Linked DNA regions of Ovis aries. The main gene of each other region encodes a partner of the protein of the gene in region 2 in a complex. Links are inferred from orthologs where the notes say so. Each region holds a gene or a part of one and is shown on either strand. Other genes may lie near its edges. The genes, in order: TAF6L, TADA3 and MBIP.

Region 1 (9,831 bases), on a different chromosome or scaffold from region 2:
GGAGCTTACACTCTACTGGGGAGGTAGATGTTAATCAAAAAGTTACACAGGCATATAATTACAAACTGGTAACGGCTTTGGAAAAAAAAGTCATGGCACATGGTGAGGGTCTGAAAAGACGTCTCTGGGAAAGTGACTTTTTTTTAAACTTTAAAATAATTCATTTATTTGTTTGAGTGTGCTGGGTCTTCCTTGCTGCATGGGTTTTTCTTTGGTTGTGGCAAGCAGGGGCTACTCTCCAGTTGTGATGCACGGGCATCTCATTACCATGGCTTCTCTTGCACCAGGGCACAGCTGTAGGGCGCACGGGCTTAGGTGGCTGCGGCTTGTGAGCCCTAGATCTTGGGCTCTGTAGCTGCGGTGCACAGGCTGAGTTGCTCTGCAGCATGTAGAGTCTGCCCGGACCAGGGATCGAGCCCATGTCTCCTGCATTGGCAGGTGGATTTTTTACCACTGACTTGCCGGGGAAGCCCCCAGCAAGTGACATTTGAGACTGAGATCTGAAGGAAGGCCTCAGAGTTCACTGGACAAAGGGGCTGGGGTAGAGGAGAGTGTTCTAAGTCCAGGAAACAGTGTGTGGACATCCTGAAATAAGGTGTTTTTGAGGAAACAGAGGCTACAGGAATGCAGAACATAAGCAAGAGTGGAAAGAGATGTTTGGGGATGTAGGCCCGCATGCGGGGCCTTGGAGCCATGGCGCAGGTTTGTTTTTTATTCTAAAGGCAATGAGGAGCCATTGGGAGAAATGCTGCAGGGAGGCCAGGCAGGGTACCCGCTGGATTTAGGGACCTGGAGGTCACTGGTGACCCACTGGGCCTTGTCAGAGAGGAGTGCTGGGGCAGAACCTGGGCGGGTCACTGAAGCGAGGACCTCACTGCTGTGGTATTGTCTCACTGTGGCCCGTGTGGGCCAACCTTCTAAGTGGCGTGTGTTTTTGGAGTCAGTCACCAGCTGCTGTTTTTCGTGGGTTCTTATTCTGCCATATCCTGTGAACAGAAGAGCAGGTTCCTGCTCGAAGCCTCTCAGCCACATTGGGGAAGACCAGACATGGGCAAAAAGCCCAACTGCTGAAAGCCTGACAGTCCCAGATGGAATAGGGGCAGGAAGACCTCAAAGGACAGACTGGATCTGCCTTAGGAAAGAGGAGGGCCTGGGGGCTTGGCACAGCAGGAAGGCGGGCCAGCCTGAGCACCAGCGGTGAGGTACAAGGCAGGCTGGAAGCCACGAGGTGGCCTTCCTGGGAGGATGGGTCAGCTTGATGAGCTCTGCGGATTCAGGACCAATCCCAGTATGTTGAGCCAGGGAGTTGGGATTTTCCTTTTATGAGTCCTGGAAAACTATTGAAGACTTCTGAGCAAGGAACTGTCAGGGTAAAAGTAGTCTTTTCATCAGTGTTTAGTACTGGTGGCTGTTGCACAGATCCAGAGGAAGACAAGTTTTTGTTTGTAATTAACGATTGTAATATCTTCCATTTGTGTAGTGTTCTGGCCCTTGAGTTTCTCCTACATCATCTCATCTCATCCTCATAGCAACCCTGTGTGTTAGGGAGGGCAGGGGTTATTGCCACTATTTTACCAGACCTCAGACTGAGGAAAGTCTCAGCCTGGTTCACATTAAAAGTGGTGGAGCAGGGCTGGGACTCAGTTCTGTGCATCCCAAGGCCAGGCACGTTGTAAGATATCACTGCTGTTTGCTGTCACTGCCGTCTGCCCTCTGACCCAGCTCAAGTCTGTTTCTTGCTCTGAGCCCGGACACTCAGATGAAGCTGCTGGTTCAAGAGCAGGAACAGCTCTTGAACAGCTCTTGAATCTGGAACAAGAGCAACAAGATTGGTTTGGAGGGCCTTCAGTCAGGCTCCCGGGCTCAGAGGGAGATAGGGCTGCCCTTTCCCACCTCCCTTCCCACCCCCAGCTCCATCGGGGCCATGTCGGAGCGAGAAGAGCGGAGGTTCGTGGAGATCCCTCGGGAGTCCGTCCGGCTCATGGCAGAGAGCACAGGCCTGGAGCTGAGCGATGAGGTGGCGGCCCTGCTCGCAGAGGACGTGTGCTACCGACTCAGAGAGGCCACCCAGGTACACTCCCCCTCCTTGTCCCTCCCTGGGACTGCCCTCTCCCCCAGGGGTTTATTCAGCTAGTACCTCTCAGGCCCCTCCTTCGTGCTCTGAATACAGCGGAGGCAGTCCCGTCCTCTCCAGGGCCTCCTCCTAGGCAGCTGGGCTTCCAGTGAACCAGGCGCCTGCTGAGCCTGTGCTCCTCACCACAGCCCCGCTGGGCAGGCCAGGCAGGTTCATCGTCACATCCCCCGTGTGAAAAACTGAGTCACAGAGAGGGCATGTGACGTTGGGAGTTGTTTGCCACGCCCCACTCCCTGTCCCTGACTCTGTTCCTCCCCTCGCAGAATAGCTCTCAATTCATGAAACACACCAAACGGCGGAAGCTGACTGTCGAGGATTTCAACAGGGCGCTCCGATGGAGCAGTGTGGAGGTGAGTGGGGCACAGGCTGCAGAGGGCTCAGCTGGCACGAGCCTGCCTACGCGCCCGACTCAGGGCCAGCCACACAGTGAGACATGAGGGCCCAACGCACACACAAGGGAAGGTCACAGCCACCGCAGCACAGGTGTCACGCCCAGTCCCCCAGGGCCAGGCGTTCAGAGAAGCAGAGGTGGCCACGGAGGCCCGGAAGCTAGGGAAGGCTTCTTGGAAGAGCTGGCACTTGAGCTGAACCTGCAAAGGAGGCCGGGATTAGACTCAGTTGCAAGAAGAAAAGGCCATTCTGGGTGAGGGAGCAGCCTGAGCATGGGCGTGGGCGTCAGAACATCCTGCATGGTCGTTCCCTGGCAGGGGGTCCGGGGAAGAAGATCACGTTTAGAAGAGAGGAGCGTGTTCAGAGCTGGTCTCTGTGGGGAGGCTCAGCAGCCTGAGGGTGGGGTTCAGGGTCCCTGCAGCTCCGTGAGGAGGGACCACGTTCTACTCCTTGACTTAGTGAGCACTGGTGCTGCAGCCAAGTTCCCAGTGAAGGGCCTGGAGTCCCAGGCATCCCCCTCTGCTCAGGGCCTCTGGACTCCCCGCAAACATAGGCTCTGGGCCCTGGCTGGTAGCACCCCACTTACCTCCCCAGATTCAGCCTGCTCCCCAGTCCTCTCTTCACTCAGGCCGTGTGCGGTTATGGATCTCAGGAGGCGCTGCCCCTGCGCCCCGCCAGGGAGGGTGAGCTCTACTTCCCCGAGGACCGAGAGGTGAACCTGGTGGAGCTGGCCCTGGCTACCAACATCCCCAAAGGCTGTGCTGAGACAGCCCTGAGAGGTGACCGCTGGGGTCCTCTACAGGGCGGGGACAGGAGCTGGGCTGTTGGAGGAATGGTGATGGGCTGGTGGGTAGGTGGGGCAAAATGCGGAATGGTGGGTGGTGTTACAGGGGCAAAATCCCGGGCTGACCCACCTCTCTGCTCTGGTTCTAGTTCATGTCTCCTACCTGGACGGCAAAGGGAACCTGGCCCCTCAAGGATCAGGTAATGGGTAGTACGGGGAATGGGCCCTCTGCTTGGACTTTCCTCCCTTAGGACTGAGGGTGGTGCTGCTACCCCTCTGAGGCCTCATCTGACAAGTATTTTCTGGTGCCTGCCTGGTGCCAGCCCTGAGTGGGCACTGATCCCTGCCCAGAGGCCTCAAAGTTGGAGATGGGATCCCAGGCCTGTAACCAATCATGACGCCGTGTTGAATGTTAGTGTAGAAGTCTGAGCAGCTTACGGGGGTCCCTGAGGTGTCACACTTCCAGGGTCTGCTGAATGGAGCTTACAGAGCCTGAGGCTTAGGAACTTGGACCTTGGGGACTAAGCAGGAGTCTGCTGGGCAGAACTCAGGTGGGAGGCAGCATGCAGAGCTGGGCTGTGGAGAGCTTGCAAGGCCAGGGTGAACAGGCTGCTCAAGAGAGGTTGGTGGCTCTGTGTTCCGGGAGGCCTCCTGTCTGAACAGGCTCCTACGGCGACGGGGGTTGTGGGGGGCGGGGAGCAGGCAGGGAGGCTGGGAGAGGGCTGGCCTCACGCTGACTGCCTTCTGCCCACCCTCTCACAGTGCCTAGTGCTGTGTCTTCACTGACCGATGACCTCCTCAAGTACTACCAGCAAGTGACTCGGGCTGTGCTGGGGGATGATCCACAGCTGATGAAAGTGAGCAAGCGGGCCTGAATTGAAGCTTCAAGGCCAACCGTCAATCCCCCATGGAATTCCTTCAGAGGCCTGCTTCCTGTTCTCTGCAGGCTGGCTGATCTGGGTGGAAGCTGCTCTTGGTGGGGGGCGTGGTGCTCTGCGGCTGGCCCTTCTCCAGCACTGCTCCCCTCCCTGCCCCAGTAGGAACCCTGTTCCTTAGGGAATGGGCAGCTCTGCAGGGTCCTGTGGAGGGTGGGGACGATACAGGTGGTCATTCCCCCCACACCTTAATCCAGAGCCCTTTCTTTGGGGTGTCTGTTGACCTGGAGCCATGCGGGGCATCCACCTTGTGCCTTTCATCTGTCTGGCCTCGAGAGGAAGTAGAGGGAGCCTGGTGAGGGTGCCAGCCAGACATCATACCAGCCCTCTAGGGCTCCACAGGGCCCCTCTGGACACTGCCTGTGCCAGGCCTCTTCCGCCAGAGGCAGAGGAGGGCTGGTTTGGTGGTCTTGACCACGTGGCCCTCTGTTTGAGGGGTTTACATCTTCCGCGCCTGGGTGCTGCTGTTATTTCCCTTGCAGAGTTAGGACTGTTGTTACTGCACTCTCCTGCCTTAGGAAATTTGCTACTCATCCCCAGACACAGTGCATGTGGCTGGGCCTGTGCCTGGGAGCTGGGCTCCTTCCTCTCAAGCTGTTCTCTGCTTTCACAGTGCCAGAGGCGCTGGGAGGGCACAGGTGGTGGAGGTTCAGGCTAAGACAGTCTTACTCATTGACTCTTTTTTTCTGCCTATAAAAGTAATACCAGCATGTGTTTATCATAGAAGTACTGTAAAACATGCAAAGTAGAAATTCTGTAGACCCACCACTCACATTTGTTTTCTATATATAAACTATCATAGTCTGCTGTCAGTTGAAGTGGTATTAAACTAAACATCTGGTTTTAGAATAACTGCTTTATTCAGTTGAAAATATGTTGGACATTTAGGTTATATACAGTTTGGTTCAGTCACTCAGTCGTGTCTGACTCTTTGCGACCCCATGGACTGCGTGGCGTCGTCCATGGACTGTGTGGCGTCGTCCATGGACTGTATGGACGCCAGGCTTAGGTTATATTCAGCTTTTTATTATTATAGACAGTGTTATGTGTGGATATGTGGGTGAGTGGGTTTTGTTTATAGTGGCTTAAATTTGTAGAAGTGGCATTGCTGAGTCAAAGTATGAACATTTAAAATGTTAATACATAGGTGCCAAGTTTTTCTTTAAAGAGGTATCAGTTCATACTTGGGGTGGGTGGACCAGGGCAGCGTGGCCCCTTCTGTTTCAGATTGCTCTCCACGACCTGCAGACCAACTCCAAGATTGCAGCACTCCTGCCATACTTTGTTTACGTGGTCAGCGGGGTAAGTGACCAGGCTGCAGCAGGGGTGCATCTGTGGAGGGGCGATGATGCCGCAGGCTGTAGGGCTCCTGGCAGGTGCCACCAGACCAGCAGGCTCTCCTGCACCTTCATGTCCCCCTAAGCACCCTTCTTCTCCCAACAGGTGAAATCTGTAAGCCATGACCTGGAGCAGCTGCACCGGCTCTTGCAAGTGGCACGGAGCCTGGTTCGGAACCCACACCTCTGCCTGGTGCCCTATGTCCGCTCCCTGGTGGGCAGTGTCCTCTACTGTGTCCTGGAGCCACTGGCTGCCTCCATCAACCCGCTGAATGACCACTGGACGCTTCGGGATGGCGCTGCCCTCCTACTGAGCCACATCTTCTGGTAGCCACCTGGGCCTAGCGCTGATCAAGGGTGGGACTGTGGCAGAGCTGAGTGGCTTGGGGTGGGAGGTGGGGTGAGACTTCTGGCTTTAAGGCCACAGGTTGAGAGGTTGAGAGTGTCTTCCCTCTGATCTTCCAAGTTGTTGTGCTTGGGGTTTTGTAAACGGGTGGCAGAGACGCCAGGGGTTTGATCTACCTGCCCTCAGGCCTGGGCCCAGCTGCCTCGCTCACTTACCCTGTGTGCCGTACACATGCTGCTTCCTCTGTGCTCTGCCTTGTTCCCCTGACTGAATGTTGCTCCCACAGGACTTATGGGGACCTTGTAAATGGCCTTTATCAGCAGATCCTGCTCTCCCTGCAGAAAGTCTTGGCGGATCCTGTGAGGCCTCTCTGCTCTCACTACGGGGCTGTGGTGGGGCTGCATGCTCTTGGCTGGAAGGTGAGGACCCTGGCTTTTCTCACAGAGCCATAAGAGCTTCCCGTTTATAGTTAGAAAAATAATCTTTCTTGTCCATGAACGTGTCCTCTTTCTCCATTTTTTAGGTTTTGCACTGTCTTTCAGGATCCTTTTGTAATTTTCCCTGAAGAGAACCTCAAAATAACTTGTTTACTCCTAGATTCTTGCTATGCTGTCATACTGTTGTAATGTCTTTGCATGGTGTTTCTTATTGGTGTATAGAAACACAACTGATTTGTGTATTGATTCAGCTACTTCATTAAACTATCATTTTTAACTGTAGGTTATTTTGGGCTTTTAAGGTAAATCATACCATGTGCAAATAATGATAGCTTTGTCTTTTTTAAACCTAATGCCTTATTTTTTTTAATACCTTTTCCTCTTTTGGCCATCCCACCTGGCTTGTGGGATCTAAGTTCCCCAATCAGGGTTGGAACCTGAGCCCTTGACTGTGAAAGTGTAGGGTCCTAACCACTGGACTGCCAGAGAATTCTCAAACCTAGTAATTTTTTATTTTATTGCTAGGACCACTAATATCATTTTAAATATGTTGATATTGGGCATCCTTGTCTCATTTCCAATTAAAAAAAAGTACTAACAATAACCTGTCCTGTTTAGGCTGACGTTTACTTTATGTGTTTGTAAATACCTTTCTCAGGTTAGGGGAGTTCTTAATTATTTATGTTAATTTTATCAAATGCATTTTCTGTATCTTTTAAATTGATTCTAAGGTTTCCTGTTTTATCTGTTAATGTTGTTAATTGTATATATAGATTTTCTTTGTTTTTGGCTGTGTCACACAGCTTGTGGGATCTTAATTCCCAACCAGGGGATTGAACCCCTGCCCTACCAGTGAAAGTGCTGAGTCCTAACCACTGGACCACCAGGAATTCCCCATACAGATTTTCTAATAGTAAACTATCTTTACATTTCTAGGATAAACTCACTTTAGTAATGGTATAGTCTTAAAAAAAATGCAAAACTTTTATTGGAATATATTTTTTATATACAGTTAGATTTAAATGATTTATCTGTATTTATGAATGAAATCAATCATGTACTCTTCTCATATGGTTTTAGTATCAGGGTTATACTGGTTTTATAGAATAAGGTGGAGAAGGGAGTATTTTTGATACATTTTTAATTATGTTTTATTGAGACACTCTGTTCCTTAAATGTCTGTAGGCTGGCTTTGTAAATTCTGGCATGCTGTTTTGTGGTTGTATTCTGATCTAATAGTTACAAAATTATTTCAGTTTTCATATTTCTTGAGTCAATATTATATTTTTCTAGGAACTTGAAGTCTTAATTGCTTTCCCCCAAATTAATCACAGGATTTAAAATTACATAATCAGAGTCCAGATCTCTGAGCTGTTGTTTGTTTTTGTGCAAGTGGTCTGAATTTAGTTCCAGTTTACATGTAAGCCAGGACGGTACTTGGAATGTAGCAGTTGGCAGCTAAACTTCTCGTTAGCAAGGGGCATTACTTATACCCTTCAGCCCTCAGTACATATGTCAGTGATCGTGGGGTCACTTTATATTGTTTGTCTGTCTTTGTACCTGATCTTTATTCCCATTGCTTAATTAAGGCTTGGGCATTCAGGAGGTTCCAAATAAATGCTGGCTGAATATGCCAAGCAGGGAATTTAGGATTCAGCCCTGTCAAGAACCAGAGATAAAAGTAGATCTTTCAGAGGAAATGGTACTTGGCAAGCAATGAGCAAGAGGCACTCACTGCATTCTTCTCTCCCATCCAGGCAGTAGAGAGAGTCCTGTACCCACACCTGTCCACTTACTGGACAAATCTGCAGGCCGTGCTTGATGATTACTCAGTATCGAATGCCCAGGTTAAAGCAGATGGGCACAAAGTCTATGGAGCCATTCTGGTGAGTGCCAGACCTTGCCATCCTCTCCTTCCTGCATCAGCTCAGCTGGCTCACTTTAGAACACTAGGCCCAGGTTCCTTGTATGCTAGTCCCTCTGCTCTTACAGGTGGCCGTAGAGCGACTGCTGAAGATGAAGGCCCAGGCAGCAGAGCCTAACAAGGGTGGGCCAGGCAGCAGGGGGTGCCGGCGCTCTGACGACCTGCCCTGGGACAGCCTTCTCCTGCAGGAGTCTCCCTCCGGGGGCAGTGCAGAGCCAGGCTTTGGGTCTGGTCTCCCAATGGCTCTTGGAGGCGTGGGGCCAGAGGATCCTTCCCCTTCGGTGACCCTGGCGGACATCTACCGGGAGCTCTACGCCTTCTTCGGTGACAGCTTGGCCACTCGCTTTGGCACGGGTCAACCCGCGCCCACGGCCCCGCGGCCGCCCGGGGACAAGAAGGAGCCTGCCACCGCCCCGGACTCAGTGCGGAAGATGCCGCAGCTGACAGCCAACGCCATGGTCAGCCCGCAGGGCGACGAAAGCCCCCGGGGCGGTGGCCCCCCGTCAGCCTCTGCGCCCGCCGCCTCTGAGAGCAGGCCGCTGCCCCGCGTGCACCGGGCGCGGGGAGCACCCCGGCAGCAGGGCCCAGGCACCGGCACCCGCGACGTCTTCCAGAAGAGCCGTTTCGCCCTGCGCGGTGCCCCTTACTTCCGTTTCATCATCGCTGGGCGGCAAGCAGGGAGACGATGCCGCGGGCGCCTCTTCCAGACTGCCTTCCCGGCGCCGTACGGGCCCAGCCCGGCCTCCCGTTACGTGCAGAAGCTGCCTATGATCGGCCGCACCGGCCGCCCGGCCCGCCGCTGGGCGCTCTCGGACTACTCGCTGTACCTGCCGCTTTGATGCGGCTCTCGCCTTCGCCTCTGTAAATAAATCCCGCGCCCGGAAGTGACGTTTCCGCGCTCGTGGGTCGCGCCGGACGAGGCGGGTCTTGGTCAGTTGGCTCCTTCGGCGGCGCTTCCTGGTGTCGGGGAAGTCATGGCGCTGCCCTGGTTGCAGCGCGTCGAACTCGCGTTCTTCGCTACCGCCTTCATATGCGGAGCCGTGGCGGCCGCGGCGCTGACCCGGACCCAGGTGTGCGGTGGCGGTACGGGGCCGGCCGTCAGGTTGGGTAAGCGGGTGGCAGGCACACCCTGAACCGGAGAGGCCGCTGCTGTCCGGCCCGGCTGAGTTCTGGCGCGCAGCTCCTCGGAGCTAGTCGCCCAGGTGAGGCCGGTCGCCGGCGGAGGTGCATCGGCGGTAATGACGCTCTATGGATATATCTGCCCACAGATTATTACCTCGCAAAAGGAACGAGTCCTTGGGAGTGTCTAACAGCAGATAGAGCCCGGCCGGATAATTCCTGCTGCATAACCTCACCCTGGCTGTAAAACAAGTTGGACCAGGCCCCTTTAAATCAGACACTATTGTGTTGAGCCACTCAAAGAAAGCATAGTGTAGTAGAAATGAGCAAACTACCAAACGGTTGCAACGCAGTGTCATATGGCAAATCAACCCCAGCCAGGCAATCATGTTGATAAAGAGGCTCGTTTGACCCCTGTAAGTAGG
Region 2 (9,931 bases):
TTCACAGCAATGCTGACCCTGACAGAGTTGATGGAACCTTCAATCAGAACCTTTTCCTTTTCATTCCTGCTGATGGTCACGGGTTGTAGCAGGAGCTCTTTGCTACTCCTGAGAACACAAAATGACAGAGGTACTATAAAAGAACAGAATGGTCAGGGAGGCTCCACGGCAGGTTCTAGAATCACAATCTGGGACCACAGAGTCCAAGGAATGAGACTCACAAGCAGGGGTGCTCCAAGATGGGGGCCAGAGAGCATGTTCTCCAGCAGAAAGAGCACAGGCTCTGGAGTCAGGGTGAAAGGTTCTGAAATTCAGCCTCCTTTGTTACTTCCATTGGGCAAGTTACCCTGTTGGAATTTCAACTTCCTCATTTGGAAACAGATCAACAAGGGTCAAGTGTGTAACAGTGAGCTGGCACATTGTAGGAGCTTTACAAATGACAACTCCTATTTTCATAACTATAGGGAAACCCATATACTGTTTAGGGAATGAGAGCCTGCCTTAGAGATAAGGCCAAGCTAAAATCAAACAGTTTGGCCTCCTTTAATAATCAAAATTATGACCCCTCTCAACTCAGTTCCCATTTTGATGCCTCTGGATCCCTCAGACGGTAGTTAATTGTATTGTTGGTGTCTGTGAGCTATTATCCTTTAAAATGCCTAGTGGAAACCATATACATTAAGTAGCATAACAGGGCACATTTTAACATGATGTCAGCTTTCTTACATTCAAATCGTATCAATTTACTGTGGTAACAATCCTTATCTCAGTTGTATATGTACCAGATTAAACATCAAAGGGGAAAAAGAAAAACTTTTTTACAAAACAAAAATCAGATAAAATAATCCAAAGTATAGAATATTTGTAGTAGGGGATGGGAGTCCAGTTGTTTATTTGTTTTTTGAGGGGAGGGATCCTTGATCTTCAAATTTGAGAAGAGCAGAGATGGCATCTCAGATAATTCAGTTCTCAAGTCTTCTCCTTAAATTGCTAGAGGGTTCACTACCTCCTTGGGAGATATTTCCCAAATGGCCCTATGTTGAAAAGTCACAACTTGTGTCAAGCAAATCTTGGCTCCAGAGTAGCTTCTCCCCTGAGTTTTGTCCTGTCAACCCACTGAGACCCAATTTTCTGAACTTCAAATTGGGAACCATCATTTACCTGGCAGCAAGACAAAAAATGTGAATTGTAGTCGTTCTGACAACTCCAGGATGGAAGTTCACGGCCCTCTCCGATAACAGTCCTCTCTGGGTGCTACATCCATCACCCCCTACCCCCTTTCCTCCCATACCTGACTTCTACTTCCGGCTTGTTGTGTCGTTCCACGACCTGGGAGGAGAAATTCTCCAAGCAGAGGGCAGCCTGCAGTGTGGCCCGCACGGCACTCAGGTAGGGGCGGAGAGTGGCAGTCTGGAGGAAAACCCCAAGGGACAATCAAAATCTGTCTCACAAAATCCACTGATCCCATAGTCCAGCTACACAGGAGCCAGGCAGTACTGAGGTCCTTGGCTCTCAGACACTGCAGTGAACAGAACAGACTAGGCCTTCAAGATGTCTTTCATTTTAAGACTAGAACAGTGGTTCTCAAAAGGGGACTGTTTTGCCTACCAGGGGACATATGGCAATGGCAAGACATTCTTCATTTTCACAACTGAGGTTGGGTAGGAGTTACTGGCATTGAATAGACAGAAGTCAGGGATACTGCTACATAGCTTACAATGTACAACAGAATTATTCAGCCCCAAATAGTGCTGAAGTTGAGAAACTCTGGTCTAGAGGCACACAGGTGAATAACTGTCTTCAATCTGCGCTTTGAGTCAACAAATGTATATATCTATAGTGTGCCAGGGCACACAAGGGGTTGGGAATTCAATGACCAAGACCATTTCTACCCTTAAATAGTTCAACCAGGTCAGGGAGACAGACAGTAACTATGATACAATGCATAAAATGTGAAATAGTTAAGATTTACAAATCATATTTGCAGAAGAAACTGGTTTTGATTTGAAGATGGAAATAGGATTAGGATTTTACAATGATAAAAACAAAAATGATATTCCTGGTAGAGGAAATGGCATCTAGCAACAAAGGACTTTCTTCAATTCCTTGTATTAGCTAAAAGTTCTTTTTCACCCCAGGCCTTCACACATGCCAAACCATCTATCTTGCAGGGTTTTCTCCCCCTTCTTTGCCTAAGTCATCCTTTAGATCTTGGCTTATTCAGAGAAGGCCTCTTCTTTCCTCAGAGGTCATTCTTGACTTCCCTTTTCATAGCACTTATAATTTACAATGATACACCCTTCAAATAACTCCAAGAAAAGTAATTTTCTCCTTTACTAAACTGAAAGCTCCATGGTTAACAGACCGTATCTATTCTACTCAAATTTACATACCCTGCAACTTGCTCAGTCAGGACCTTTCCTATACACCATCTTACTCAGTTTCTGTACAATAAGTGAATGAATGAAAAAATAACAAGATTAGAGTAACAAATAGGGGCATTACAGTAGTAATGAGTACAATGTTGCCAGGAAGCATTTTTTTAGATTCAATGGATGAGGTTGCAGATGGGGTCCAGAGATTCATGAGGAATCTCAAATGCTAGGCTACTGAGTTTAGCTCTTCTGTTAAAAGTGGTAAGGAACTTCTGGGGCTTTCTGAGGAGGAAGTTACACAACTACAACTGCATGGAGACTTTGTGGAGAATGGATTGGAGGAGAGGGAAGTGACAGAGCCAGCAGAGACGGTTATTTAAGTAGGGTAATAAGAGCCTGGCCTGGGGCAATGAGGGACAAGCAAGATTGTATCTGTCAAAGTTCATAGCAAATCTGAAAAAGGTACATTTTGGGTGGTCAACCCTATGACGTCTGCCCTTTCACAAATGGAGTAAGCACCTTCTTGTGTAATACTTCAACAAGTATGATGTTTAAAAAAATCAAGAGGCATCCCCTCAGTTTAACAACAAAAGAATATCCCAGGTTTCTAGCTGAGGTAAGAAAACACAGAGCAAGAATAAGGAATACAAGAGAACAAGCAAATTTAGGGAGAGGTGAGTTTTAATCCAGACGTCTAATTTCAAGGTGTCTTCAAGATATCCAGGTAAACCTTGAAAGAGAGCTAGGAAGGCAGATTTAGGAGTCATCATAAATTATATGGTCATGAAGACCTGTGCATTAAATAGGTATCGACAGGAAGAAGATAAAGAAGGGGAAGGCAGTGACCCAAACTCTCAATTGACGTTAAGAAACACCCACAATGATCAAAAGGGACGACTTCCTGAAAGGCAAAGGTCAGCGGCATCAGAGCTTAACATTCCATATTAAGGCTGATACGGTTGAATTCTGACCAGGAAGGGGTCTGCGTGGAGGCAGCAAAAGAGAGATCCTTCAGTGAGGTAAAAGTAAGAGCTGGTGGCAACATGAGGAGTGGGAAAAGGAAGTATGGAGGCTTCCCTCAGAGAACTGTGGGATCAAGCAAGCGAGAAAGAAAAGAGTTTATTTAGTGAACGTCTACTCTGGGTAGGGAGGTATTCCTACTACATGCCTCAGCGGCCCTACTACGGGCTATAAGGTGTACTACGTGCCTTCGAGGCGCTACCACAAACCGAGGAGGAGCGACTTCCGGCTTCTTTCTTGCCTCAGTATCCCCCACCAGCTTCAAAGGACAGAATAGGAAGCCTCAAAGCCTGCTTCTTACGAAGGCGTCCCCCGCTCGCCCCTTCCTCACCTCAGCCCCTGCCCCGCCCTCTTTCTTCCAGCCTCAGGGTACCCCCGCACCCCCAGCATCCCTCGGCCCAGGGCCTCTCCGCTCCAAAGTCGCATCTCCCCCAGACCCAGAGCCTAGAGGCAGAAGACGGGGGTCCCTGGCCCGAGGCCCGGCTCTCACCATCGCGGGCGCTGGCTGGGCCGGAAAGCGGAAGTGCGGAAGTGGCCCGCCCCGCGACGCCTGCCCTTTCTCCAGAAGCGCAGCCGCAGTCTCCGCCCGGACGTCCGGACTGTACCATCTGTGTTCCGAGCGGGGGAGGGGGAGGCTAAGAACATTTGGTCCCTCGTAAGTTTTCCCGTTAGGACTGTCTTAGTAGCTTTAGGCTTCTGTAGCTTAAAATCACTACTCAAGATTCTCCCGTTCCCCATGGAGCTCTTGCTTGTGACTTTGGCTTTCTCGTCTTTTTTCCGCCGCCTTCCCTCATAGTCATGCAATGGTGCAGCCCGACCTCAGGTTGGCACCATATTAGGGCAAGGCAAGGCGGAGGAGCCTTTCGATCCTTCCGGTTCTGCGCCCCCATCCTATCTTCAGGCCCCTCCTACCTGCAGCCTTTGGGGCTCGGCGAGACTAACTGCCGGGCCGAAAGCCTGGCTGCCGAGCCCCTCCCTCCAGCGCCGGGGTGTTCCCTAGGGTACGCCCGTGGCATACCTTCTGCACCCCACCTGCAAGCGGGCTAGCTCGCTGCCCGCAACCCTCCCCCACCAAAAGACTGGGGTTGGTACTCGCGTCTTCCCGCCCCCTTGTCAACTGCAGGGGGCCCTCACATAGCCAGTTCCGGGGCGGTTGCTCTCACCGACCGGAACTCTCCGCCCCTCCCGCGGCCCCGGGGCCGCTGGAGGCAGCAAGGAGAAGGTAGAGGGGGCGGGGGCCGCGATAGGGTGTCCTTAGAGAACTGGGACCCTGAAGGCGGGACATTGGGGCGATCCATGGGTGGGGCCAGCCATTAACCAGCCCCACTTTTCCTGTGCCAGGCACTGAACTGAGCTCTTGACTGGCATCAACTCTAAATCCTCAGAACATCCCAGGGAGGTAGGTACCATTATTACCCCATTTTACAGATTCAGACTTAAGGGAAAACAGATTCAGGCTTCTTTTGTCCCCATTTTACGCATGGAAAAACCGACTCAGAATCAATTAACATGTTCAGGGCTACATAGACATTGGTCAAGCCTGGGCTTGAATCCAGGTATATCTGGCTGTCCAGAGATCCAGGTATCTCTTTACTATGTGGGGCAAAGAGAAGGGGCAGAGGTGGGGAGGGGTGAGACAAGAAGAGGCTGGGAGGCACGAAGAACATTAGCCTAAGTACCGGATGCTTGGAACTCTGGGCTCAGCAGAACCCAGGAAGAGTGGAAGTGACGGGAAGAGCATCAGAAAGACAAGCATAGTAGTATAGTATATCATGGCAGTTAGTTGAACAAATTCAAAACTACCTGGATTCATGTTGGTAAGCTTGGACCTGCTGCATGCTTACAAAGTCTGTTTCCTCCTCTGTAAGATGAGGATGAGCATGGTCCCTGCTCTTGGGGTTGAGTGAGGAATTCAGTGAGTAGCCAGTAAAATGTCTGCCCCTCACTTGGCACACAGTAGGTGCTGTGAGAATAGTAGCTAAGCCATCACTCTCCCCCGAAGCTGTCGGTGGATGGAAGGAGCCCTTGGACTTTTCTAGTGCCACTTTTACCCCCATCAATGGTCCTTTCCTCTCCAGCTCCACAGGGTCCCCTATCCTGAGCCATGAGTGAGCTGAAGGACTGCCCCTTGCAGTTCCACGACTTCAAGTCAGTGGACCACCTGAAGGTCTGTCCTCGCTACACAGCGGTGTTGGCCCGCTCTGAGGATGACGGCATCGGTATCGAGGAGCTGGACACTCTGCAGCTGGAGCTTGAGACCCTGCTTTCCTCTGCCAGCCGACGCCTGCGGGTGCTTGAGGCTGAAACCCAGGTTATACCCTACAGAGGGGACATCACTACATGGATGTCACTACAGTCCGCTACAGGGATGGACTATGACAAGTTATGGGATGTGTCACTGAGTTAGCCTCAGCTGCTGAGGCCCAGGTTACAGGATCTCAGGGTTTGAAGAGAGAGATCCAAACATTGCTTGTGTAACACATAAAATATGCAAGAATGTGCATGATCCTTCTAAAATGTGAGATTTCTTATTCACTAAGCATCTAGGGACACCCCCCCCCCCCTCCTCACAATGTTCTGAGTCTGTAGAGTTAATTAGGACAATTCCAGCCTTTGGGGAGTGTGCTAACTAAAGGAAAGGGAGGTCAGACACGTATCAGGTGAATTGCTGTTCTGGTTAGGAGTACTGGGGGAACTGGAATGGGAGGCCTGGATTTGAATCCTGCAGTTTCTGAGTTGTGTGACGTTGCAAAACTTAACTGCCTGCTTCTGCAGATCAGTCCTCCATCTGAAAAGTGGGCTAGATAATAGGACCTACCCTCAGCTTTTGTGAGGATTAAGAGATTTTTTGCAAAGGCTCAGCCCAACGTCTGACACTTAAGAAAGCATATCAAATGTTATTTATTGGTCTGACTCTCATTATTTCTATTTATGGCATAAACATCCTCTGAGCCCTGTGTGCCAGGTGCTCTGCCAGAACTTGGGGACCAGAGATGGCTGAGATGAACTTCCTGGTCCCCAATAGCTTATAATCCTGTTGAAGAGACTAGGTACTCCGTTTATTCTAGTTATGACCAGATGACATGATTGGGCCTAGGGGTGCAAGGTACCAGAGACTCCTATAGAAAGAAGATGCCATTTTAACTGAACCTCATAAGATGAATAAAATTAACTTGTGGTCCCTGGGAACCCATGGAAGCTTTTCGAGTGGGGCTGTAGCACACAGCATCTAAGAAGCTAGATAGCTGATACAGAAAAGGCTTCCTAGTCATGGTGACATTTGAAGTGAAGGTTTGCTGGGAGGCATGCGTGCCTTCAATAGAAAGTTATCGCCAGCATATTTTCCTCGGGCTATCATGCACTGCGTTGTCATCTACCTGTTTGACCTGCTAAACACTGTGTGACCAGGTTGGGCGCTGCAGAGGTGAATCAATACAGACAAGTGAATGGAATGATGACAAGTATATGAAAAAGTCTTGTGAGATGGGCACAGAAAAGGAGCTGATTTTTGCAGTATGAGTAGAAGTTTGGTAGATAAAAAGAGGAAGGGGAGAGACTTAGAGCCTTCTTGAGTTCCAGATCCTAATTTTTCATGGGGAGATGGAGTTGTCCTGTGTCTTCCCTTCTCATCCTCAGTGACAGTCTTTGAATTTCAGATCCTCACTGACTGGCAGGATAAGAAAGGTGACCGACGATTCCTGAAGCTGGGTCGAGACCATGAGCTTGGAGCTCCCCCCAAACATGGGAAGCCCAAGAAGCAGAAACTGGAAGGGAAGGCGGGCCATGGGCCTGGCCCTGGCCCTGGGCGACCCAAATCCAAAAACCTTCAGCCCAAGATCCAGGAATATGAATTCACTGACGACCCAATTGATGTGCCACGTATCCCCAAGAATGACGCCCCCAACAGGTTCTGGGCCCGGGAACATAGATGGGCCTTGGGATTTGGGCACTGGAGGCTGTGGAGAGGCCTGGGGCTGAGGCTGGTGGGGCAGGGGGCAGGGGGCACCCCCTCAGGCTCTGCTTCTCCCTGCAGATTCTGGGCTTCGGTGGAGCCATACTGTGCTGATATCACCAGTGAGGAAGTGCGCACACTAGAGGAGCTACTGAAACCCCCAGAAGATGAGGCTGAACATTACAAGGTGAAGACCCCAGGCATGATGAGACAAGATGGAAACATCTTGGACATGATGGAGAACAAGAGGGCTCAGAGATGCCTCACAATTAACAGAGCTATATATCATCTTCCTTTTTCTCTCTCCCCAGCCTCCTGACAGTTCCATTAACTCACTTAGACGCCCAGGTTCTAGCTTTCAGCTTCCTCCCTTCTACCCTGCCACATCCTAAGGCATCTTCTTCAGTGCAGTCCTCCCTTTGTCTCTGTCATCCCCTTTGCTTTGGCTCAAAAATTCATCAGCTTTTCCCTTTACAGCCTCTTAACACTTGCTTGCCTCTAGAGGGATTCTCTTCTCTGCTTTTTTAATTGGATGCACCAGGTAGCATGTGGGATCTTAGTTCCCTGACCAGGGATCAATCCTGCACCCCTTGCAGTAGAAGTGAGCAGTCTTCACCACTGAACCGCCATGGAAGTTCCTCTCTCTCTTTTTTTTGTAATGTATAGAAGTTTTTTTATTTTTAGTTTTTATGATGAAAATAAAAGAGGTTCCGTTAAAGAAAATGTACAAAATACAGAAAAATGTTGGAGGGGAATTCTCCCATAGGTTCGCTATCATGATCAGAGGTGCTTATAACAGCCTTGTGTGGCTCCCATTGCCCACAGACTCAGGTCCAAGCTTCAGTCCTTGGTAGCACAGTGTCCTTGGCCACACCACCTCTTTACTGCTATTATTTGCCAGCCCCACCAAGCACCTTACCCTCACTCCAAGCTCACACAAGGTCCTTTCTGGTCTCTGGGCCTCTGTACATGCCAATCTCCCCTTGGCAAACTAACACCCTTCGAGTCCCTTACTGCACGTTACCTGCACCAAAATGGTTTTGCAGGTTTTCCAGCAGAAGGTTGGTCTGTCTGTTGCACTGCCACAACACCTTAACCTACTCTGTCACTCCACTTGTCTGAGTTTTTAAAAAACTTATTTGAAAAGGTAATCTATATGGGCAGTCACAAGTTCAAGCAGTGCATAAGCTATTTCTCTCATTTCTGACCTGAAGGCCTGTAGTTCTTTCGAGAGATAATAGCTCTCAACTGATATTGTCTGTGTACACACACCATTCTGCACGTTACATCATGGAAATTTTCCTGTATTGCCTTCTGTGTGTTTTAGTTGTTTATGTACCTGGCTTCTCTACTAAACTGTGAGTGTAGAGATTTTTCTCTCCTGTATCTCTTCTCACCTGAGCCTCAGGCCTCAACCCTGGACTAGATACTTGGGAGACATAAATGAAGGAAGGAGGGTGAGCGAAGAGCCTGTTGGCACTTCCAAGTGCACAAAGAGACCCTGCCACACCCCAGGCATTGCTGGCTGTATTTATCTCTTTGGGGCTGGGTGGGATGTCTCCCACAGATCCCGCCCCTAGGGAAGCACTACTCCCAGCGCTGGGCACAGGAGGACCTGCTGGAGGAGCAGAAGGACGGGGCCCGGGCAGCAGCTGTGGCTGACAAGAAGAAAGGCCTCTTGGGGCCCCTGACCGAACTGGACACTAAAGGTAAGTCCCTCACCTCCCTGCCCACCCCAGGCTAGGACTTGAGTTCCCAGAACTTCAGCCCACGAGTCTACCATGTGTCTGCCCAATTCAGATGTGGATGCCCTGCTGAAGAAGTCTGAGGCCCAGCATGAGCAGCCAGAAGACGGGTGTCCCTTTGGTGCCCTGACACAGCGTCTGCTGCAGGCCTTGGTGGAGGTGAGTACCCCCAATGCAAAACAGAAACCACTATCATTCTGTTTCAATGTTTGTTTATTGAAGTATATATTTAGAAAGGTACATAGGTCATAAATGTACAGCTTGATCGATTTTCACAAATGAGCAGCCTTGTACAACTAGTCCCAAGATCACAAAATAAAACATCATCAGTATCCTTGAAGGCCCTCTCATGCCCCTCCCAGTGTTTAACCTCCCCCACCTCCAGGGTAGCCACTATTCCACAGTTACTTTTGTGGAGCATTAGTGAAAGGCCCTGTGCAAAGGGCTTTCTACACATCCTCTTGTTAAAGGCAGATAGTGGTTAACCCCACATTACACCAAACAAGGTTGAGGCTCAAAAAAGGGAACTGTTTGCTTGACATCACACAGCTAACAAGCGGAAGCAGGCTTCAAACACCAGGTTCAGGTGCCCTTTCTTTATGCCCACTGGCTATCCCAAGCCATGTTTCTTCACCTATGAGCCTCAGTTTTCCCTCTGGCTCAAACACAATAGCCTCTTTCTCTCCCATGTAGCATTCTGGGCACATGTTCCAGATCAGTGGAGGCTGGGGGAGATCTCTGTTCCACACCATCAGACAGGGACCCCAGGTTTGCTGGCTTTTTAATTGTTTAAAAAAATGTATATATGTATTTTTGGCTGTGCTGGGTCTTCGTTACTG
Region 3 (9,931 bases), on a different chromosome or scaffold from region 2:
CATTGTGTCTGACTCTTTCGTGACCCCATGGACTGTAGGCTGCCAGTCTCCTCTGTCCATGGGATTTCCCAGGCAAGAATACTGGAGTAGGTTGCCATTTCCTCCTCTAGGTGATCCTCCCGACCCAGGGATTGAACCCACGTCTCCTGCTTGGCAGGCAAATTATTTACCACAGAACCACCAGGGAAGCCTGTGACTTGACTCTGTCCTAAAGTCATTTTGACTTCTCTCTTGCTGTCTTTCTCCAAAGTGGGTGACAGACCCACCATTCAAAGTCACTCCTGAATTTCTCATACAGAAATTTGGTGCTAAGAAATCTGTGTTAAGTCACTAAATTTGGGGATATTTGTTAAGCAGCAGTATATAATAGTGGAGTTCTCAGGATTTCCTGGATGTGATGCTTTCACTGTTCGATAGTGGTTTGGCTTTCACTAGTTTTGGAAATTTTTTGGTCGTCATCTTTTGAAATGTTTCTTTTGCCCCAGTCTCTCTCTATTCTTCTTTAGGGGTTCCAATTACATGTATATTAGACTCCATGATATTGTTCTACGGTGGTTGGATGCTCTATTTTCAGTTTTTAAAACTTGCAAAATTGGCCTCATCATGCCATCCTTGTCACCAATTCAAGCTGAGCAGCACCCCCTTCTCTGAGGGACTCCACAGGGATGTACCTTTAAGCTCCTAAATTTTAATAATTTCAAACTTTTCTCTTTGTTCCCATAGCTCTAGAGGGGTTAGCTATTTCCCAAATTTCCTAACAGTGTGATAGATTATTGTTTTCTTGTTATCCTTTCAGTTAATTAACTTATCATACGTAACAATTTCTATTAAAATTTTCTCTGTTGAAGTAGCAGTATGTTTTCTTAACCTTGAATGAATCACAGATCAGTATGGGAAGTCCTAGTAAACCAATCCTCAAAGCTGGGGTTTTGGATTGATTGTAGTGCTGAGCTTCTTGCTAATAGAAAGTGGAATGTTGTGATCTGTTGCATGCTATGGCAACACAGTCAACTTTACTCCAACTTCTTTGATCATGGAAACTTTTGTTGAAAAGAAGCATCTTATAAGACTGGTATTCAGCAGAGCAAACTTTGAGAAATGCTGGCTTCACCATACTTTTCTATCCAGTGTATCCTCCCTAAACATATCATGGCATGTTAAAGTTGCTGCTACTGTTTTACCTAAATTGAGAATTTGTACTCATCATTTGAGCCTCAAAATCCATGTTTTATATCAAGTGCTTGGAGCTTTTCCTGATAATGAATCCAAACACCTCTAATTGGTTGTATTGCTTTATACATACCTCCAATAAGATTGTTGTCATATTGTATCATAGTTGTTTTTTTACATATATGCCTCACCCATGAGAACTAGAACTTTTTGAAAGATACTCCTTGCCTGATTCATCTTTGTACCTTCAAACCTGGTCAGAGTGCCTGGCATACAGCTGGTACAATTAATTTTATGTGTGTCTTTCATGAGAAGGTTTTGGAGGCTAGCTGTGCTTATTCATTAAGGAAAATTTGAGCACTTTGAATTTGCTGTTCCAGGAGAGAATAAACAGACATGCTTCATTATTTGAAATGAATGGTTTATAGCATTCTTACTATGTTGTACAATTTCCCTTCAAGAGTAGGAGCTTTTGTTTTTCCATTTTACAAATCTGTTCAACTTAGGCAAATAAATTCAACTCAACAAGCATATATATACTGAGCTTCAGGAATAGCTTCAGGATAGTAGGCTTCAAGAAGCCTCCTGATAACAGGCTTCAGGAGGGAGTAAGAAAAGTTCCTTGGAAGAAGAAATAATGCACGAGAGTTAATTTTCAGGTTATTAGCTAAGTAATCAATACTATAAGTGGTAGTCTACATATTGAAATAGAGAATTTATATACAGATCCAAAGGCCATCAATCAATTCTATATTAGAGGTTCAAGGGAAAAAGTAAAACTCTAAATTTCAAAATCAGTGATGGCAAAGAAAAGGATGCTGCTGCTGCTGCTAAGTCGCTTCAGTCGTGTCCAACTCTGGGCGACCCCATAGACGGCAGCCCCTCAGGCTCCTCTGTCCCTGGGATTCTCCAGGCAAGAATACTGGAGTGGGTTGCCATTTCCTTCTCCAGTGCATGCATGCATGCTAAGTCGCTTCAGTCGTGTCCGAGTCTGTGCGACCCTATGGACAGCAGCCCCCAGGCTCCTCTGTCCCCAGGATTCTCTAGGCAAGAATACTGGAGTGGGTTGCCATTTCCTTCTCCAAAAGAAAAAGATGAGCAGTATCTTATTAAAGATGGTATTCTTATACAAATCAAGTTCCCAAATGTGTTTCATACCAGTGTCCTGAATATTGGGGGAATAAAAGAAAGACCTCACATCTAGATGAAAACAAATGATCTGGAATTGGTTGCTAATATGTTACCAAACAGAAACTAGTTACCTCATTAGAATGATTCTCTAACAAGAGAACCAAAGGCAGAGAAAATATGCTAACATCGCAAAGAATCCTGAATTTAGGTTAAATATGAGGATGAGTGGCTTGAATGAGAAGGTTGCTTAAATTTGGGATTAGATATTGTGAGATCTTTCTATCTGACATCTCTAGACATAGGCTGGATTATAAACTGTATATCTTGCTGTGAACAGGGACCAGACAAGACTACTGAAGACCCTATCAAGCCTGATGCTCTTTGAAAATGAAAGCCTAATTAAGAGCCTCCCTAGGGAGAAGGCAGGGTTTCCCTTGTAGCTCAGTTGGTAAAGAATCTGCCTGCAGTGCAAGAGACCGGGGTTCAATCCCTGGGTTGGGAAGATCCCTTGGAGAAGGAAATGGCAACCCACTCCAGTATTCTTGGCCTGGAAAATCTCATGTACAGGGGAGCCTGGTGGGCTGCAGTTCATGGGGTCGCAAAGAGTCGGGCATGACTGAGCGATTAACACTTACTTAGGGAGAAGGCAATGGCACCCCACTGCAGTACTCTTGCCTGAAAAATCCCATGGACGGAGGAACCTGGTGGGATGCAATCCATGGGGTCGGGAAGAGTCGGACACGACTGAGCAACTTCACTTTCACTTTTCACTTTCATGCATTGGAGAAGGAAATGGCAACAGCACTTCAGTGCTCTTGCCTGTAGAATCCCAGGGACGGGGGAGCCTGGTGGGCTGCCGTCCATGGGGTCACACAGATTCGGACACGACTGAAGCGATTTAGCAGCAGCAGCAGCAGGGACAGGTCAAAGGCTTTTTAAAAACCCCTATTGCTCTTAATCCCAGTTCCTTGGTGCCTTATTCCTTTCCTTTCATTCAGACTACTCTAAAACTGAAGAATACACTTTGTGCAAGTTTCCATCTCTGCTTCTTCTAAAGGCATTAGATTATTAGAACATTAAATCCTTCCTCCCTTATCTCTATACTGACAATGTTTATTGTTCAAGCGTAACAGATTTTAACACTAAAAACTTTCTAAACTTTTTTCTTCAATTGCACAGGACAGACTTTTAATGTTAGACTTTGTAATACTACAAACTAAGCATCTTTTAACAAAGTTATCTGATAAGTAACATTTTGTCAATTTTCAATTTGGATTTGTATATTCTGATTTCAGAGATTGTGTTGCATGCGATTGCTTACTCGGGTTAAATTCCTGTTGGGATCATCTTGACAGTGTTTCCCTTTATTGAAATAGTTTTAGGATGAGTGTCTCTATCCTATTACCCAGAGAAAAACAACTGATTCATCAGTTTTAAAACTTGACAGAATTACTTTGCAGATCTAACATTCCCTTGATAATAAATGAGGCATAAACATTTTTGTTTTATATCTTCTTCCTCTAATGAAAAATTAGTGATGTTAATTTGAATATTGGTGAAAATATTCTATCCAGTTATGACAATTCTATGTGGAAAAGTTCTCAATATTTACAAACAATCGTTGGCAGCGCTGCATCCCTGACGAGCGATCTTTCTCCAGGCCACTCCACAGGGCCATGTTAAAATTTTAACTTTTAATATGGGACTAAATCACTAACATTTAACTATAAAAGTTTTCTCTAGCAATACTCATCATTAACATCTGGGTCAAGGTAGACTTCACGAAGCTAACCCTCTTTGGCTACCAATTCCAATCTCCAGTGGAAATACTGTGGCCAGCCTCACGTAGGTCGGCAATCATCCGCTCGCGGTCCTCAGCGGAACCTGATTGGGGCAGATGCTTGTCAGTCACACAGAGGGTCCTCAAAGCCTTGGTCTAAAAGAGACGCAGTGTTTTGACATCATCGCGGAGCGACAGAGGCGATGGAGGGAGGGGTGGGTTGTGAGCGCACTTTGGTGCTGGCTGGGGCAGCCTCAGAAAGTGTCATGGCTGCAGCCGCTGAGCTTAGTCGCCCTACGATCGGTGACAGGAGCCTGGAGCGGAGCTGCAGCCCCAGCCTCTCCCGAGAGATAGTCTGCGAAGTCTTCCGCTCCTTGCATAACCTGGCTGGACAAGTGAGTGATGCTCTGTGGAGTAGGGGTCTGGGAACAGGCCTGCCCCTCCTCCCATTTTCCCTTGCGCGGAGGCAGGGGCCACCGGAGGCCTGCAGGGTGTGGGAGCCGGCTGGAGCAGCAGAGGCCGGGGGAGGAGCGTGGGCCGGGTACCCTGTGGGCTGAATGAGGATGGCCGCGCGGGTTATATCCTGACCGGTGACAGGCTAGGTTTGCAGCTCTTCTCACCATGAGTGAATGAGGCTAGTGTAAGTGAAAACGCGGCTCGGTAAGAAACTGGCTTGGAGAGATTGGATACGGAAGAGCTTCTCTGATGGTTTGGGAGGCGCCTGGAGCCTCAGGATCGTTTTTCCTCCAGTTCATTCATTGTAGAAATTGATAGGTTCGTAGGGCCTGAGATTTCTGGAATAGCGCTCTCTCCGCCTCTTTAGGGTGATTTGCTCTTATGAGTCACTTGCTTTTGTTTACTTTTTTCCTTCTGGCCGTAGCTTGCATCTCTTCCCCTTTAAAACAAGGCGGAAGAGAAAAAGAATTAACCTAAACTGTTTGTAGCATAAAGTTGGCTGAGTTACCTTTGGTCAATACAGCTTGCATCACAATTTGTTTAACTCGTAATTCAACTATTTATTAGTTTAACTGGCTGGTAAATAGCTTTTGTCGAAATGTCATAATAAAATGGAGCTTAAATAAAGGTACTGCTTGCACTGAAAGCACTGTTTACTGATGTAAATGCAAAGCAAATTTTAAATGAGAAACAGCTTGAAAATATGTTTATCTGCTTTCAAAAAGAAATGTTTTAAAAAAAATCTTGGACTTAGGCGTTTGCGTTGAACATAACGGTAACTTCCTTTATGAAAATAGAGTGTTTGTGAAAATTATTTTTAAAAGCCTTGGGTAGATGGTGAATCAGTCTTTTAAAAGGTTATTTCAGTATTTAAAAAAATTTCAATGTTTGTCCTGACTTACAGAGAGCATTGGTCTTAGTTAAACATTCATTTTGGAGTAATGGGATGATTATTAATAGAGTCAGCTAAAAGTTGTAACTTTTAAACTCATTAGTTTGTCAAGGACTTAGAACTTTTATTTATGTATTTTTTAAGACTTAGGGTAATTATTTCAGTCTGAAGACTCAAGATCTGTAAATGGTTTAAAAGTTGGAGAACTTTCTATGGCGTGGACATTGGAACTTCTTTTTTTAATCCTAATATCAAGATTTAAAAAGTTTATATGCACCTAAAGTTTACAAAAGTACCCCCCCACCACTGATGAGATACTTTTTAAAAACGTTAATTTAAACCTATCTTTTGAAATAGTTTGCATACTGAATTTTTAAAACTCATTTAAAAATTTTAAACATTCTGTAGGTAAAAATAGTGCTGTGGTTAAAATTTACTTATGTCACCTGTCAAAAATATCTAGAGAGTAAATATTTGGTTAGTTTTCATGACAGAGTAAAGGGGCCATAAATAAGACTAAATAAGATTGTCAAAAAGTAAGATTATCTCATCAATTAAATGCTAGCCAATTTGGTGATACTCTTTATATTTTGAGATGTACTGTTAAAGATACTGAAAGCCAGAATACTATACTTATAAAATTGTTCCTGGTGGAAATAACTATTTCCCTTTGAAACAAGATTAAGAAATTTAAAAAAATCTATGTTGTAAAATGCCTAGTTCCTTCTATATAGTATCATTGTGTTATTAGCTCTCCTCAATAGGAAACATAGAATCAGATGTTAAAATTTTCCTAGCCCAGATTTTGAATTTATTGAATACTGATTTTGCCTCTGGTTGCTGCATTTTACCAAGCTGAAGAAATATTTATTGTTAACTTGGATTTTTATATTAGTGTAATAAAGTTTTTACTGAAATGTGTATTTTAAATAGTTCATATTAATGACAGACTAATACCTTTTTGACTGAATGGTTTACAAGTTCTATAGGTAAAAATGCACAGAATTCATATATTACTAATAGGGAATTTGTTGAATAATAGTTGGATGTATTGGGGATAGTTTTAAAGTTAATTTGTGGCATTGTTATGTGGTTTCTTCAAAGACCAAGTATCTTGCACTTGAAAGTTTATATAATTCTGCTAAATTGAAATGAGAATATAATCCAGACATTCAATTTAATTTCTATAAGTTATTTTCTAGAAAATTTGATGCTTTGCTTTGGTTGAGGATTTGCCTGCGTTATCCCCAAACTGTATTTGTAAGTTTGTTATAATCAATTATAGATTCCTTTAGAACTGTAAAAGTATAGTGATGGGTTACTTCCATGCATAAGCTGTTGAAACATTTATAAGCACTAAAAAATAGAAATTAAGATTAATATGATTTTCTTAATATAAAATAACAAACTAATTTAGTTAAAATAACAAACTAATTTTTGCCAGTGCATCCTACACAAAACTTCTTTACACTTGTCTAATATGGACTTTAAATATTTCTGGTCAAAGGGTGGTAAATTTCTGTCATACAGCATTCATACATATAGTGCCTTTTGGGGAACTTTGGATCTCTTTGGTACAGTGATTCATTTTTTTTGTTTTATTATAATCACAGTTCATAAGATCTTAACTAATAGAACACTTGTCCTTATTTTGTAGAAAACATGACTAATTTTAAATAAATGATTTCTGAAAAAATAAGAGTTAACTTGATCCTGTGATGCAGGATATATGCCATAACACACGTGTCCCTAAAAATGTTTACAGTGATTCACTTTTATTCACTTGAAATACTAAAAATGGAGGCTTTCCCTCTGAAATGTTGACTCATCTTGGTATTAATTTTATATTCAGGTTTGTGGTAGTTTTCTATGTATAACTTTATCGTAATAGGCCATACATAGCCAATTTAGGAGAAATTTTCATGAACTCTTACATTGTACTAGAAAATACTGTTTAGCAGTGAGTCTGACCTTTCCATCCAGTCTTTGGCTGTTTATTTCACTATTGTGGAAAAACATTTGTTTTTAAATTTCAGATTTCCACAGCTAAATAATAGTTTAATTTTTATTTGAAGTAAACATATGCTGCCATGTAGCTGCAGACTTTATAATATATATGAATATGAATATATGAGTTGATTTTTAAATTTAAAAAATTGGTTAAAATTGAAAACAATGAAAATGTGATTCGGAAGACATCAGAGGAATGATATATTTGTTACATATTTATGTGCATATTTAACAAAAACAAATGCAGAAATTATGAAATCAGAACTTTCATAAATGTACCTCCCCCTGTATTTAATGTTCTTAGCTAGAAGCAGTAGGATTTTGAATAGGGCAAGCATTTGTTGGCCCCTATCCAAAAGTTTTCAGATACTGAATTATTAAAAAAAAAAAAAAAAGCCTCATCTTTTCATCTTTCCTGGATAGTTTTACCTGTGAGATGGTCCCATTACACAGACCCAAGAAAAGAATTAGAGATGTCATCTGCTTTTTTCTGAGAACTGGACCTTTCTTGCCTTTTTGGAGTGGTAACTAGGTAGAGCACTTTTATGTATCATTAAAAACTTGAGAACTTTGATCTAAATGGCATGTTATTCTATAGAAATCTTATTTTTGTGACAATCCCATATGTACAGCTTAATCATGTAATTTTTGTGATATTGCTGGTTTGCCCCTTTAAAGCTTAACCTCAGAGATGATGTGGTGAAAATTACAATCGATTGGAACAAGCTCCAGAGCCTCTCGGCATTCCAGCCCGCTTTTCTCTTTAGTGCACTTGAGCAACACGTTTTATATTTACAGGTAAATTTCTTGTTAAAAATGTTAACTCGATACTGAGACTAGAAATTAATTGTAGCTAAATTGTACACTGGAGTATTTGTAGGTTCTGTCTTAACACCTTATTAATACTGTTATTAATAAAAGGTTACTTCAGCCAGATTGGATCTAAATCTTTAATTTACATAGTGATCAGGACAGTTACAGGAATATAGCCGAATGGGCTGCTGTGGGTGTGACAACTGAATGAATGCAGTTCTATTCGATTCCAGACTTGCACTGAAAATTCAATACAGTTGCATCTATGGTGGGTTATAATTAAGCAATAAGACACGGCAGGTGTGTGTCATGCTATGATAATGATTCCATGCCTTGGGTGAGTTTGGAGGCTCATGGAGTGCTTTCAGTGGTTCAAGAAGTGGCATTATCCCAGCATGACACATCCTGGAGTGTCTATTGCAATTAAACAGTTTCAGCATAGTTTTTAAAAAGAAAGTAATTTCTGTGACATTAATGTCTCATATTAGTAAGTAGCCAGTCACTATTTTATGATCTTAAGAGTTTAAAATAATTCATTCTTTATATTAAAAGTCAACACTGAATTGTTAATCTATAATAGTATTGCTATATTTTAAAAAATATTTCAGTTCAATAACCAAACAGTATTATGACCTTACTAGTTTCCAGCTGAACATATTTGCAGTTATTATTGATAGATGTTTACAGTTTATCTCTAATCAAAGTATAAAATATGAAGTGTCATAAAGGTTTGGATTGGTCAGTTTAGTGCCATTAAGATATTATAAGGATTCAGAAGAATTTTTGGTATAGCAGACAAAGGAAGCAAAATTGTAGGTATGAAAAAATAATTGGAACTTTGACAAGTGTTGGTATGTTTTGATTAGTAGAGTAGACAATTTTCAGCCCTTTATTCAGTGACTTTTGGGGAAATTTTAACTGTTTCATGTTAAAAGTAATAGTTAACCATAGTTTTGAAGGGTGGAAGCAATGAGCTATAGGACTCAGTTGAGGCCTAATTTTGTGTGAGTGTGTTGGAGGGGATTGTAGTATAATTTACATGATAGAGTTGTATTCCCCACTAGTATTGTAGGCATCTACCTCTTTCAGCTATGGCTCTTGGTAATGTTTTTCTTTTTTCCTTGTTCATTTTCTTTTTAAAAATTTAAATTCATGACCCAAGAAGATATCTTGTCATGTCAGGAAAAGCCTGAGTGTTCACTCAGCATAACACCTATATATTTCATGTCTATGCTCTCTCATTCACTTTGGCCAACTGCAGTTTCAAGTGGAGAATCTCCAGTGATACAGTGCTAATGCAGGGCTTTGCTGAGTGAGAGCACTGGCTCTTGTGTTAAGGAGGAAAAATACTAAGCCTTAGTGTTCTGAGGAGGCATTTGAATGACATGTTAATTAAGTGGCATTGGTGCCAGAGGCTGAGGCTTTGATTTGGCACAAAATAAAAGATGAGTGACAGAATGATTCCCTCAAAGAAAATTTTAAATTTCCTCAGGTTTTCTTTCTCTTTCCTTTTTTCTTTAAATAGATTTATAGCAAATGATATTGGTCACAATAATAGAGAACAGCAAAAACACTTACATGTGGTCAGATCTATGTATGATGCCAACCTTTTATATTTAGTTAATTGATACTGAATATTGCTTTTACTTAGCTGAAATTTATATAAATATGGTAAATGT

The links.
Region 1: TADA3 (region 2) and TAF6L share a complex: the UniProt entries of both Homo sapiens proteins name them as parts of the STAGA transcription coactivator-HAT complex. The link is inferred for Ovis aries from reciprocal best matches to the Homo sapiens genes TADA3 and TAF6L.
Region 3: TADA3 (region 2) and MBIP share a complex: the UniProt entries of both Homo sapiens proteins name them as parts of the ADA2A-containing complex. The link is inferred for Ovis aries from reciprocal best matches to the Homo sapiens genes TADA3 and MBIP.

Annotation. Positions count from the first base shown.
Region 1 is NC_056074.1:37,624,119-37,633,949, forward strand, and holds the end of TAF6L (TAF6-like RNA polymerase II p300/CBP-associated factor-associated factor 65 kDa subunit 6L), read left to right. Parts: intron 1-1,911; coding exon 1,912-2,071; intron 2,072-2,397; coding exon 2,398-2,484; intron 2,485-3,152; coding exon 3,153-3,303; intron 3,304-3,457; coding exon 3,458-3,508; intron 3,509-4,070; coding exon 4,071-4,165; intron 4,166-5,470; coding exon 5,471-5,545; intron 5,546-5,686; coding exon 5,687-5,907; intron 5,908-6,212; coding exon 6,213-6,345; intron 6,346-8,120; coding exon 8,121-8,249; intron 8,250-8,355; coding exon 8,356-9,126; 3' UTR 9,127-9,171; downstream 9,172-9,831. Other genes in the region: TMEM179B (transmembrane protein 179B), read left to right, coding at 9,262-9,357. UniProt on the Homo sapiens protein: Functions as a component of the PCAF complex. The PCAF complex is capable of efficiently acetylating histones in a nucleosomal context. The PCAF complex could be considered as the human version of the yeast SAGA complex.
Region 2 is NC_056072.1:16,891,517-16,901,447, forward strand, and holds the start of TADA3 (transcriptional adapter 3), read left to right. Parts: upstream 1-4,260; 5' UTR 4,261-4,479; exon of another isoform or gene 4,480-4,617; intron 4,618-4,736; 5' UTR 4,737-4,794; intron 4,795-5,473; 5' UTR 5,474-5,499; coding exon 5,500-5,706; intron 5,707-7,051; coding exon 7,052-7,302; intron 7,303-7,428; coding exon 7,429-7,534; intron 7,535-8,914; coding exon 8,915-9,056; intron 9,057-9,147; coding exon 9,148-9,251; intron 9,252-9,287; exon of another isoform or gene 9,288-9,785; coding exon 9,786-9,860; exon of another isoform or gene 9,861-9,931. Other genes in the region: ARPC4 (actin-related protein 2/3 complex subunit 4), read right to left, coding at 1-108, 1,292-1,410, 3,886-3,888. UniProt on the Homo sapiens protein: Functions as a component of the PCAF complex. The PCAF complex is capable of efficiently acetylating histones in a nucleosomal context. The PCAF complex could be considered as the human version of the yeast SAGA complex.
Region 3 is NC_056071.1:44,237,142-44,247,072, reverse strand, and holds the start of MBIP (MAP3K12-binding inhibitory protein 1), read left to right. Parts: upstream 1-4,311; 5' UTR 4,312-4,347; coding exon 4,348-4,476; exon of another isoform or gene 4,477-4,976; intron 4,977-8,117; coding exon 8,118-8,237; intron 8,238-9,931. UniProt on the Homo sapiens protein: Inhibits the MAP3K12 activity to induce the activation of the JNK/SAPK pathway. Component of the ATAC complex, a complex with histone acetyltransferase activity on histones H3 and H4.